3 linked regions of the Arabidopsis thaliana genome follow. The protein of the gene in region 2 interacts with the protein of the main gene of each other region in a pairwise test. Each region holds a gene or a part of one and is shown on either strand. Other genes may lie near its edges.

What was found. The genes of interacting proteins can lie anywhere in the genome.
Region 1: the proteins of AT4G34790 (region 2) and AT5G19700 interact in a protein complementation assay, tested with the Arabidopsis thaliana proteins (one large-scale study listed by BioGRID).
Region 3: the proteins of AT4G34790 (region 2) and AT1G04970 interact in a protein complementation assay, tested with the Arabidopsis thaliana proteins (one large-scale study listed by BioGRID).

The regions. Positions count from the first base shown.
Region 1 is NC_003076.8:6,660,140-6,664,043, forward strand, and holds AT5G19700 (MATE efflux family protein), read right to left. Parts: upstream 2,325-3,904; 5' UTR 2,209-2,324; coding exon 682-2,208; 3' UTR 539-681; downstream 1-538. UniProt on the Arabidopsis thaliana protein: May act as a negative regulator of hypocotyl cell elongation in the light.
Region 2 is NC_003075.7:16,592,475-16,595,701, forward strand, and holds AT4G34790 (SAUR-like auxin-responsive protein family), read left to right. Parts: upstream 1-1,887; 5' UTR 1,888-2,064; coding exon 2,065-2,391; 3' UTR 2,392-2,679; downstream 2,680-3,227. Other genes in the region: AT4G34780 (SAUR-like auxin-responsive protein family), read right to left, coding at 1-243.
Region 3 is NC_003070.9:1,409,550-1,414,165, forward strand, and holds AT1G04970 (lipid-binding serum glycoprotein family protein), read left to right. Parts: upstream 1-1,538; 5' UTR 1,539-1,666; coding exon 1,667-2,074; exon of another isoform or gene 2,075-2,335; coding exon of another isoform or gene 2,336-2,365; coding exon 2,366-2,505; intron 2,506-2,610; coding exon 2,611-2,962; intron 2,963-3,106; coding exon 3,107-3,355; intron 3,356-3,467; coding exon 3,468-3,593; intron 3,594-3,690; coding exon 3,691-3,882; 3' UTR 3,883-4,078; downstream 4,079-4,616. Other genes in the region: AT1G04960 (golgin family A protein (DUF1664)), read right to left, coding at 1-80, 207-274, 403-484, 636-875; PDIL2-2 (PDI-like 2-2), read right to left, coding at 4,320-4,506, 4,607-4,616.

The DNA.
Region 1 (3,904 bases), on a different chromosome or scaffold from region 2:
AGATGTCCCCTCCCCCTGTATATTTAATTTTGAGAAGCAAAATTTTGTGCATACGTGTTGAAAACTGGAATTTAAAGAACTTCTTTCACCATATATTTTTTTAAATAGAAAAATTAATGAGTTGCAGTAATACCACCAAGAGTCTGACTGGAGAACTAACCAGCACAAATAGCTGTAACATTTTGCGGCTGTAATCGAATTCAAATCCTCCTAATGCTTTTTTTTGACAACAAATATAGGTTGATCTTATATTTAATAAATCAAAGTAAAAGAAATATATTTTTAAAAAACATAACTTTTTATACATGAAAAAATATATACAATTAAACTGAATAACATACATAATCATTATATAACGTGAACACATGTTTAGTCATGATCTACTACTTATACAACGAAAACACAATTGAACACATCAGAAAATGTTGCACAACAACTTGAATTCGAATTCTGGAGCAATCAAAGCCGATTATATAGAAAAAGAAAATTCTCTAAAATAGCATGAAGTACAAATACTTAGGACACAATTACTTTGGATCAAAATTATGAATCAGATTCTTTTTGGTAACTTTCTCGTTTAAAAATACAAATGTCTCCCAATGCCCTCCCAAAAAAAACTGATCGATTCATCCACAAATATTAAGTAAAATAAAATAAAACAACTCAAAACACCGATCGATGTCAGTCAGTAGCGACAGTGACAACGTAAATTAATGGTTCCGATAAGTCTCCGTTGGTTTGCGTTGTTGTTATTACCACATCAACGCCTTCAGTACACGTTAGCTTTCTGGCTCTAATTGCTTCTTTCTCCCAGTCCGTAGTAGCCACGACATATAGCATCATGGCAGCACAACATATCTGAGCAGCTAAAAGACCTACCCAAAGTCCGCAAAATCCATATGCGGCCCAAAACGTTAGCCCAACGGCTACAGGCGTTCCAACGAGGTAAAACGCTCCTAGGTTTATGTTCGCTGCCATGGACGGCCGTGCAGTGCCTCTAACAACCCCGCAACCTACTGTTTGCGGGCAGTTCCCGAGCTCGCAAAGCCCGAGAATCGGCAACGCGGCTGCGGTTAATTTGATGATAGCAACGTCGTTTGTGAAGATCCATCCCCAGACATCGCTTACGCCCCAAGCAAACGCAGACGCCGTCAGACCCATTACCCCAGCAAAGGAAACCGCCACTATGGCTGATAACCTAGCCTTGTTTGGGCGGTTTGAGCCAAGTTCGTTACCAACTCGGGTGGAGACTGCTAACCCTAGAGACGATGGGAAAATGTAAAGCAAAGACGTCGTTTGGATAAGAATGCCCATTGATGCCACTGGAGTACTAGGGTCTATGAGTAAACCACATAGAACGGTCATTATCTCGTACCACCACCACTCTAGGCATACCCCGATGCAGCTAGGTATGGCTAGGGTTACGACTGGTCCCCAATCTTTGAAACATTCCGAGCTGGGGCGGGTCCACGTTGGCTGGTGTAGACCTGCGATCCAAACATGGGCCACAAGGAAAATGACAACAAGAAGATTTGAAGCGGCTGCGGCCATTGAAACGCCCATGAAACCCCATCCGAGGTAAGAAACGAGGAAAAAGTTCATGGGTATGTGGAAGATGGTGCCAGCGAGTGTTGCGAGAGTTAAAGGGCTTGTGATACCTTGTGCTCGAAGGTATATACGAAGAGGGTGAAGAAAGGAATTGGTGAGCAGATCAGGAATAGAGCAGAGGATATATGTTTGGGCCAACGATGAGATACTTGGATCTTGATGAAGATAAATCATGATCTTCCCCAGGTTGAGCCATAGAGCGACGATTACTACCGAACTTGTGAGTAAGAAAAGTACGGTTCGTTGAAGCGTTAAAGAGAGGAGTTTTGGTCTGCCGGCTCCAAAGGCTTGCGAACAGAGTGGGTCCATGCCGAGTGCAAGACCTGCTAGAACGGAGTAGCCAGTGATGTTAGCGAAGGCAATGGCCAGGGAGCCACCAGCTAGCTCTAGTTCACCGATATGCCCGAGGAAGAGCATCGAGATGGCGGAGCGAGCGTAGAGGATGAGGGCCGCGAGGATTGTCGGGAAGGCTAAGGAGAAGAGAGACCTAGCCTCACTTTTAAGCTCAGTGATTGTCGGGAAAATGGGGGCAGGGTTTTGTTTTTCCAGGTCTATCTTCGATAGAAGATTTGTGTGGCTGATGATGTTTGGGGTTTCCATTTTGTCTCTGTGAAATAAAAGACACAAGACGATTATGGTTACAAGATATGATTACCAGCAGAACACTTCTGGTTTATATACACAAATTACCTATATGTCCGTCACGTCGGACTTAGCGAAGGAGTCAAATGATAAAAGTCAAATATTTATTAAAAGGATAGACTTTATGTTTTAATGTTTAAAAAAGGTTAATTACAGAAAGAACACTTTTCTTTTAGAAGGTGCTGTGAAGATAAGACTTCTTAAAATGTTAAAGAAGTTAGGCATTTTTGTAATCTTTTTTTTTTGGGTCTACAAGGTTGTTTTAGATTATTATCTTTTTAATTTTAATAGTGAAAAAATCCCTTTTTTCTATAAGAACATCTTTAATTTGTATGTTTTCACAATACTTTTATGAAAATGCCTAATTTTAGTTCTGATTTTATTAAATGGGATTCTGGTAACATTAATTCAAGTTTATCAGATTTATTATAAAAGTTTGGAAATTAGAAAATCTTATCCTTGAAAATTTTGTGCCATATATTGCCGAACGCCACGTGATATTTTATAAATTACTATATTAGATATGTATTTTATTAATATTTTTTTTCAAAAATTTTAAATTAAATTTACTATTTTCAACATTTACATTTTGTTTTACCTTTTACTAAAATTCATATGTATATTATAATGTCTAGATATAAAATTTGACGTGTCGTGTTTTTATCGGTATGTACTTTTGTTTTTTTCTTAAGTATTGCTTATTAAGTTAGATGTAATCTTATAATTTTTTTTTGTTTTTTAATCAAAGTTGTGCATTTCCTAGATTTTTTCTTAAAAATAACTTTGTGATTGAAAATGATTCAAAAAACGCTAACCAGAACTTGAGAGGAGGAGAATGAGCGGTCCAGTTTTTCTAGTTAAAACAAATTTAGTTATAGAGGGCCAGATCAATTGATCCTCCTTTTTGATTGATTGATATGGAAAAAAAATCATAAAACCAATTGGACCAGAGGGACATGATCGATATGCATTAAGATCTATATTTTTGAACAATATATGATCATTTTTTACGTGCTATGACCATATTGCAACCATTCATATGTGTAAATGTCAAATGTCACTAAACCAAGTTTTTTGTATTGTGAGCTATGTAGAATATTTTTTCAAGAAGAATGTATTGTTAGGGATATGAAACATATTAAAAAAATAGTTTTGGTGGCGTAGTCTCCTATGAATGAGCTGTTTTATCCAATCGGTTAGATGAGTTTGAATAGCTCCATGGCTTCTTCTTCTTTTTCATCAAAAAGATTCTATTGATAAGGTTTAAAGTGAATTACAAAGAGCCGGCAAGTACATGAACACTTCCGGAAACATTAGTCGGCGAGTACAAGAACACCAGAAACAATGATCAAACAAAGTAAACAAAGGGAAAAAAACCCGAGCAAATAAACTACACAACATCCATTAATACTTTCTGGATCAGAATCTGGAAATTCAAAAAAAAGATTAACAAAACCTAAACCTTGCAAATTAAAACAAAACTGAGACTTAGAAAAACACACAAACAGATTATAATACAAGAATCTTCTTTATAACAAGTTAAAACCAAATGAAAGTGTCGTGTGACCCTCTTTATAATACTCTCGAGAAGTCACAGAGGCGGTGAAACGCATCCAAAAAAATAGAGACTCAAAGAACGTCTCTTGAAGAAAGG
Region 2 (3,227 bases):
AATTGTGAGGTATGTCCTCTGATGATCTGTGCCAAATTCATCTTCGGCTTTACGCAACAAGGCTTGGAACAAAGGATGGTTTAAGTAAGATATTGGAACCACAAATCTCTTCGTCTCCATCTCGTCTTCTCCAACATATACCGCAAAGTGACCCTTTCGTACGTTGATTATGTGTCTTAAACGCGATATCTTTTTATCGAGTACTCTCTTGACTTGAAAAACTATAGTCTTGAATCGAATCATATCTATCTTTCAAATGAACTGACTTTTGTATAGCTTGAACGAAGATACATGCGTAGACTTTGTGGCTTTATCAATTTTATAGGGGTGAAGGTTTGTTGCTTTTAGGAGTAGTAATTCATTGTTATAAATATTAAAGGATTTTGTAACATATAAAATAGTAAATGAAATAAATAATGGATATGTAGCATCTAAAATACATATTGTGATAAAATTTGTATTTTTTTCTCTAACTTTAAGAATTAAAAATATTATCTTCTATCTTAATTTTTAAAATGAATCTATCACATTTTCTCATTATATTTTTTTTTTTCAACTTAAAATTTGCAAACAATATAAGACTTCACAAAAAAAAAAAGTTATCTAATTTAAGATGAAACTCATAAATATTTATGAATACATCAATTAGAGTATTAGCTAATCTTCATTTATATATGTTTCCTTAAAATTTTAGAATCTACCAACTGTATTAGTGCGGGCCGCAAAAATGGTATCAGATTAAGGTGAACTCTGAATATTATATATGATTAAGATCTTAAATGGATATACTGTATAAATTTTCCTTATAAAAATACATTTTTATGTTTAAATAGATATTTGTGGAGAATTTTTGCATTCGCAGACACTTGAAACTCACTAATTGAACTTCCTTTCACTCAACAGAAACAATATAATGTGAAGTCTTAATTAGTGCATGATTTTTTTTCAGTAAAAAGCAGTAGTAAATTAAATTAAAATTGTCTCATTTTTGAAAAATTGTATAAAACAAATGATTGTTTAAAAAAATACTCATTATATTTAAGATAAACACAAAAAACTTGTTTAGATCACTCATGCGTTGATCGCGTGATTACACAAGCCTAATATTTGTTATGTTCAATTTCTCTCTGCAACTCTTCTCTTCCCAAACACTAAACCATCTATCTATGTCAAGCAACTATTTTAGGCCTAAATGCGAAGAACATGCATCTACACAATCAAAAAGATAAGAGAAAAAAGGGATAGTAGGCCATAGGCAGCAAATAGCTATAGATCTATGGGGATTTTGTTTTCGATCTATATCGATCACTAAACAGTACTATGTTGTTTGTTCAAATTTCAGTCTAGCCACAGTCACAATCATCCTCATAATCACATGCAAAGATGCGAGATTCAGATCTTATCTAATGGCAAATAAATTGATCAAAACTATCTATGGAGCTGAAAATTTAACAAACAAATACATCACACATATTTTAATATAATACTAAAAGATTTGTTATTTCAAAATTATATATGGAAAACCATCTCGTTACTCATCTTTCGTCCCAGCAGTACGGCCCCTAGTTTGAGAGCGAAGGAAAATATACTTTAAAAGACTTTGGAACTTATTATACATACTCTTTCAACTATAACAATCTCCAATATTGCTAAAAGTGGCTCAAGAACTGGACCCACTTAGTCTGATCCAAGTCACATTATTCACCATTTCGAGGCTCTAATTTAATATAAATACCTAACTTTTTATATATATTTGCAATCATATACAAGAAACTTATGTTATGTGCATTTTATTTTTATATAAAGATGAGCTAAGCCATGTGAGCCAGATGGATGACGGGAGGGCCCAACAGCCCACAACTTTTTTTTTTTTTTTTTAGTAATCAAAATATCGCATCGTACTGTTTTTTTAGCATTGAAAGTCTTTTCCTTATCTTGAAGTTACATACTTTAAGTTCACTACTATAAATAGAAACTTCTTCCCCTCGTTGTCTATCAAGTCATTTACTTTTTAAAAAAATTTACCTAAACAAATTGATAAGTTCCAAACATAAATAAGAAGACATGGGTTTAATGAGGTCGATGCTTCCAAATGCAAAGCAAATCTTCAAATCACAATCTATGAGGAACAAGAACGGATCATCCTCACCATCAACAACAACAACAACTTCAGGGCTTGTTCCGAAAGGTCACGTAGCGGTTTACGTTGGAGAACAAATGGAGAAGAAGAGGTTTGTGGTTCCAATATCATACTTGAACCATCCTTTGTTCAGAGAATTTCTTAATCGCGCTGAGGAAGAATGCGGATTTCATCACTCTATGGGTGGCTTGACGATACCTTGTCGAGAAGAGTCGTTTCTTTATCTCATTACTTCTCATCAGCTGCATTGAGGAACGCATTAAGTGATGTAATAGTCTTGAGGGATTTAATTAAGCTGTTTTTCTTTCCTCTTTTAAGAGGAGAATTATAGGGAAGTTACTTATGTGTGTATATGGTGACACTTGTTCAGAGCTTAAGTTGTATTTTGAAATAAGTTTTTTTTTTTTTTTTTTAAATAAGATTTGAAAAGCTAGTTGAGCTAAAATTTATATTCAAATCATTAAAAGCTTTTAACTTTTAGTCTTTTACAGTAAAAATGGTGGAAAATAAACGAAACTTTAAATGCGGTAAAAAAACAAATTATTATATATATCTAATGGTTGAAAAATCCATCTTACAAAGATGAGAATTTTTTTGAAATTATCACACAGTAAATCATCATTTGATGATCTCCTGCAACATGTGACATGCCTAGACGTTATTTTACTATCTATTACATTAGCGTTTAGAAAAGCATCATATAATAAAAACAGAAAATTTTCACATAATGGAAATCTCAATTATAAGTTTTCATTTGTTTTGTATTTTATATACCCAGCTCTGACTTACATCATAAATATAGTATCTCAAAAAAAAAAAAAAAGGACTTTTTCAAGGAATTGAAAGTATTTTAAAGGATGGTGGATCACATGCACTCTGAAGAAACTAAAATGGGTTGTAAGTGAATAAGTGATTAATAACATTAGTATGATCTATATATGTTCTTCAAATGCATAAATCATATTTATTGAAAATGATTGAAACAGTACTGCACAATTTTATCATAGTGAACTTTGTCACAATAAATGAAATAAATCATATCCAAATTATTGCATATTTAGATTGTCAAGCTCATGTTACTCTCCGT
Region 3 (4,616 bases), on a different chromosome or scaffold from region 2:
TCTAGTTGTTTCGAAACAGAGGCAACCGCATCAGCCATATTTTTCTTTGTCACAAACATTGCATCTGAAAACGACCAGCCCTGCAATGTGGGTAAACCTTAGAAGTCAATGATATATAGTTTACCGGTAAACCACATGTTACAAAACTATAACAAAAGACACATGAAACATAGAGAAAAATAGACAGATTTTAAAGAGATAAACACCTTCCACCACATGTAGCAGTACCCCATAGCTCCAACGGCAGCCGCTGGAACCAGGTAAGATGCATAGCCTACAAGAGCAAAAGCAAAGATTATATCATTCTCTGTTTCTCATAAAAAATAAACATATTTGAAACATTTCCTACATTATCAAAAGTAGTACATAAATATTTTATGAGAAACTAAGACTTGTACATACCACTGGAGTTTGAATCTCCATTAAAGATGGTAACTGGATTGGTCATAGTTAGTTCTTTGATCTCGTTTGCAAGCTGTCGAATCTGGTTATCAAGAGACAACAAAAATTATGTCACTAAGAGGGGAGTCCAGTATTGGCCTAGTGATAAAGAGTGATGAATTATTTTCTATTCCGATTGTTTATGTTGGATCGATGAGAAAAATAAGCTTACAGAGCAAAAGAAAATGAAATACCTGAGCAGCAAGGAGTGCACCGTCATACTTAAAAGGAGTGCTTTCAACTCCTTGAGCACCATTGAGTAAGTCTTGAAGTTGGGCTATTAGGTCAGACAACCTCCCATGTCTCAATACGATCGAACCAGATACACCTTGGACATGATGAAAACAGAACCAAGTGTCATTAAAGGTCATTAAATGGAACATCCAAGCTAGAATAACTAAATCATTCTTGCTACATCCAAGCTGTATTACCATCAAAACTACACTAACGATTGAAGATTAGAAGTTCTGGACCATTTTAGCAAAGTGATCAATCAATTTGCCAAGATAAATTCAAACCCTAACTCTTCATAAAACAATTCCCTAGATTAGAGAGTCAAAGCAATACGAATCGAATTTGATTACAACAAGCAAAGATAATAAAACAAGCATCAAAGTGAGAAAGAGACCTGCGCCGAGTAGGATAAGGACCTTAGAGGTCTGAACACCGGCTTGCATCGCCATGAATTCCGGTTACAAGCTGAAAAAGATTCTCGATTAATTCTCTGTTCCGTGTCGCCAAGCCACCGCGAGAGACCAATTATGACACCCTTTTGCCCTTTAGACCTCAATTTTAGCTTTGATTTACCACAAAGATAAATACTTTTCAAAACTTATGTTCTTACCCCCGAAGCTTCCAATTTTAATCGAACTATTGTCCTTAGACACATATTAGAATATTTAACACCACTTGAGCTTATATACATATCAAACGTTAATATGTACAGTATATACAATTACATATGTATTTATACTTTTATTGCCCTATAGACCTCAGCTTTAGCTTTGATTGACCAGAAACATTAATATTTTAACAATTTATGTATTCACCCCAAACACTTCCTTTTGAATCAGATTACCCCAGAAGGCAATGCAAATCGAATGACTAAGGTTATTTTAGACATTTCTCAATAATCCAAACCATTACGCAACTTCACTGTATTAACCTGTTTTCTTCATCGAAGAAGATAGAGAGACCAAAACAAAAAAAGCTTTGAATATCCGCCATGGATGTTGGACGATGCTTTCTCTTTCTTCTATTACCAAGTTTCTTCTTCTTGCCTTCACAAACGCAGAGCACCGATTCATTCACATCGGTTCTCGTATCTCAAAACGGACTCGATTTCGTCAAAAATCTTCTAGTTAACAAAGCTATCGCGTCGATTATACCTCTCCAGATTCCCAGAATTGAGAAATCTATGAAAATCCCGTTCCTTGGAGGAATCGATGTTGTTGTCTCGAATCTCACGATATACGAGCTTGACGTTGCGTCATCTTATGTTAAGCTTGGTGAGACAGGTGTTGTCATCGTCGCTTCAGGGACGACTTGTAATTTGAGTATGAATTGGCATTATTCTTACAGTACTTGGCTTCCTCCTATTGAAATATCTGATCAGGGTATTGCATCTGTTCAGGTAATTATGATCAATTTTACTAATTCTTAGTTTTGATCATCTCAATCTTGTGAATCAATGGAAAGACAAGATTTTTCTTGCGAATCACAAATTTCTGTTCTGTTTTGTATCCTTATGTTTCGTGATTGTTATATGTCTTAGAACATAGTTGCATATGGGAATCAGAGGTGACTGTTGCTCTCTGTTTACCATTTCCATGTGTTGGTTTTAGTTGTTGCTGTGATCTGCTCATTTTTATATCTGTTTTACAAAGGGAATTTGATGAGTGCTGATTCTCGCCTTCTCGGTAAGGTTCAAGGCATGGAAATCGGGCTCTCTCTAGGCTTGAAAAGTGATGAAGGAGGCTTAAAACTTTCTCTTTCGGAATGTGGATGCCATGTGGAAGACATTACCATTGAGTTGGAAGGAGGAGCATCATGGTTTTATCAGGGGTACGAAATAATTTGCTTATTGATGATAGATCCACTCCCTCTTATTGCAAGACAGGTGTTGGTTTGTTTTTCATTTTAAACTTCATTCTCTTCTCTGCAATTCAGGATGGTTAATGCATTTAAAGACCAAATTGGGTCAAGTGTGGAAAGTACCATTGCCAAGAAACTCACGGAAGGAGTATCAGACCTTGATTCATTCCTACAAAGCCTTCCAAAGGAAATCCCAGTGGATGATAATGCTGACCTTAATGTCACTTTCACCAGTGATCCTATATTGAGAAATTCATCTATCACTTTTGAGATTGATGGCTTGTTCACCAAAGGAGAAACAAATCAAGTCTTAAAATCCTTCTTCAAAAAGTCTGTATCTTTAGTTATCTGCCCTGGAAATTCTAAAATGCTCGGAATTTCAGTTGACGAAGCTGTTTTTAACTCTGCTGCAGCTTTGTACTATAATGTAAGTTCCTAATTTCCTAATTCCTTAGGTTCCAACTAGAAAGAATGCTCTTGATAAAACTGTTCTATATGTTTCCGATACATCAATATTACTGTTTTCCACCGTTGTTTCTAATATGAGGATGTTCACTCTTGCCATATTCAGGCAGACTTTGTGCAATGGGTTGTGGATAAAATACCAGAGCAGTCTCTTTTAAACACTGCTAGGTGGAGGTTCATCATTCCACAACTATACAAGAAATACCCGAACCAGGATATGAATCTGAACATCAGTTTGTCCTCACCTCCGCTTGTAAAGATATCAGAGCAATACGTTGGAGCTAATGTTAATGCAGACCTAGTAATCAATGTTCTAGATGCAAACCAAGTAATACCTGTAGCTTGCATCTCCTTGGTGAGTCCTCCAATGACAATGCTCCATATCTTTTGTTTTAGTTACTTACTATAAGCAAATTTGCAGTGATGTCGGTTTACCAATAGATGATTCACTGTTTCCTTGGCTGCAGATGATCCGGGGATCTGGTGCTCTCAGAGTCATGGGCAATAACCTTGGAGGCAGCGTAAGTTTAGAAGATTTCTCCATGTCTTTGAAATGGAGCAACATTGGAAATCTCCATCTGCATCTTCTTCAGGTAAAACCATCATGTCAAGTGTTTAAAGCACTCGCATGTTTGTTTCTTTCATTCTTAGCATTCACACGTGTTTCTTTATCTTGTTCCGATCTTCTAGCCAATAGTGTGGACTGTTATACAAACAGTGTTTGTGCCATATGCAAATGACCACCTAGAAAAGGGATTCCCGTTGCCCATAATGCACGGATTCACACTTCAGAATGCGGAAATCATCTGCTCAGAATCTGAAATCACAGTTTGCAGCGATGTCGCCTACTTGGATTCGTCCCAACAGCCTCAATGGCTTTGAAGCTACCACGATCTACGACTTGGAAACCTAACTCGTTGTAGTTTACAATTGGTGGTTGTAAGTGTCGCTACTGGTTTGGCATTTGGACCAGACTCAGCGACCAAAACGAACAAAGCTTTGTATAATACTTTTGTACTTAATGTTGACTAATCTGTGAATGATATTTCTGTCTGAAATAAAATAGTCTTTGTAATTACTGTGGTATGAAAATAGGCTATGGTAAATAATATGTCGACGAATTAGTTGGTCAAGTGGTTAGACTGTTAGCCAGCTTGTTCAACTTCATATAAAAGTCGAAAAATTCACCAAATTCTGTATATGGAATCTAAAAGTGTATACTCTGTTCTAACTCTTTGAAATGATATCATTGTCCTTGAGTGGGACACTTTAAGTCTTTCAAGAAACCAAAACCCTTATCAATGAGGTAAAAGAGAAGTTCACAAGTCGTCCTTGGACTCAGTGGAGGCTTCATCATCATTTCCCATGAGGTCTTCAAGTGAGAATTCATCTGCATCAACCACCTCTCCATCTTTACCATCCCAAGCTTCTGTCTTCACTATCTCCATAGTTCCGTCTATAGGCAAATTCCCTTTTCCTCCTTTCGCAGCCTCCTTAACGAAATCTCTGATAACACAAATAAGAAAAATACCCGTTGAGCTAATAAGATGCATGGACCATTGGTTTCGTCATATAGGACAGAGAGAAAGACAAAAGGTGCACTTACTTGAGGTGTT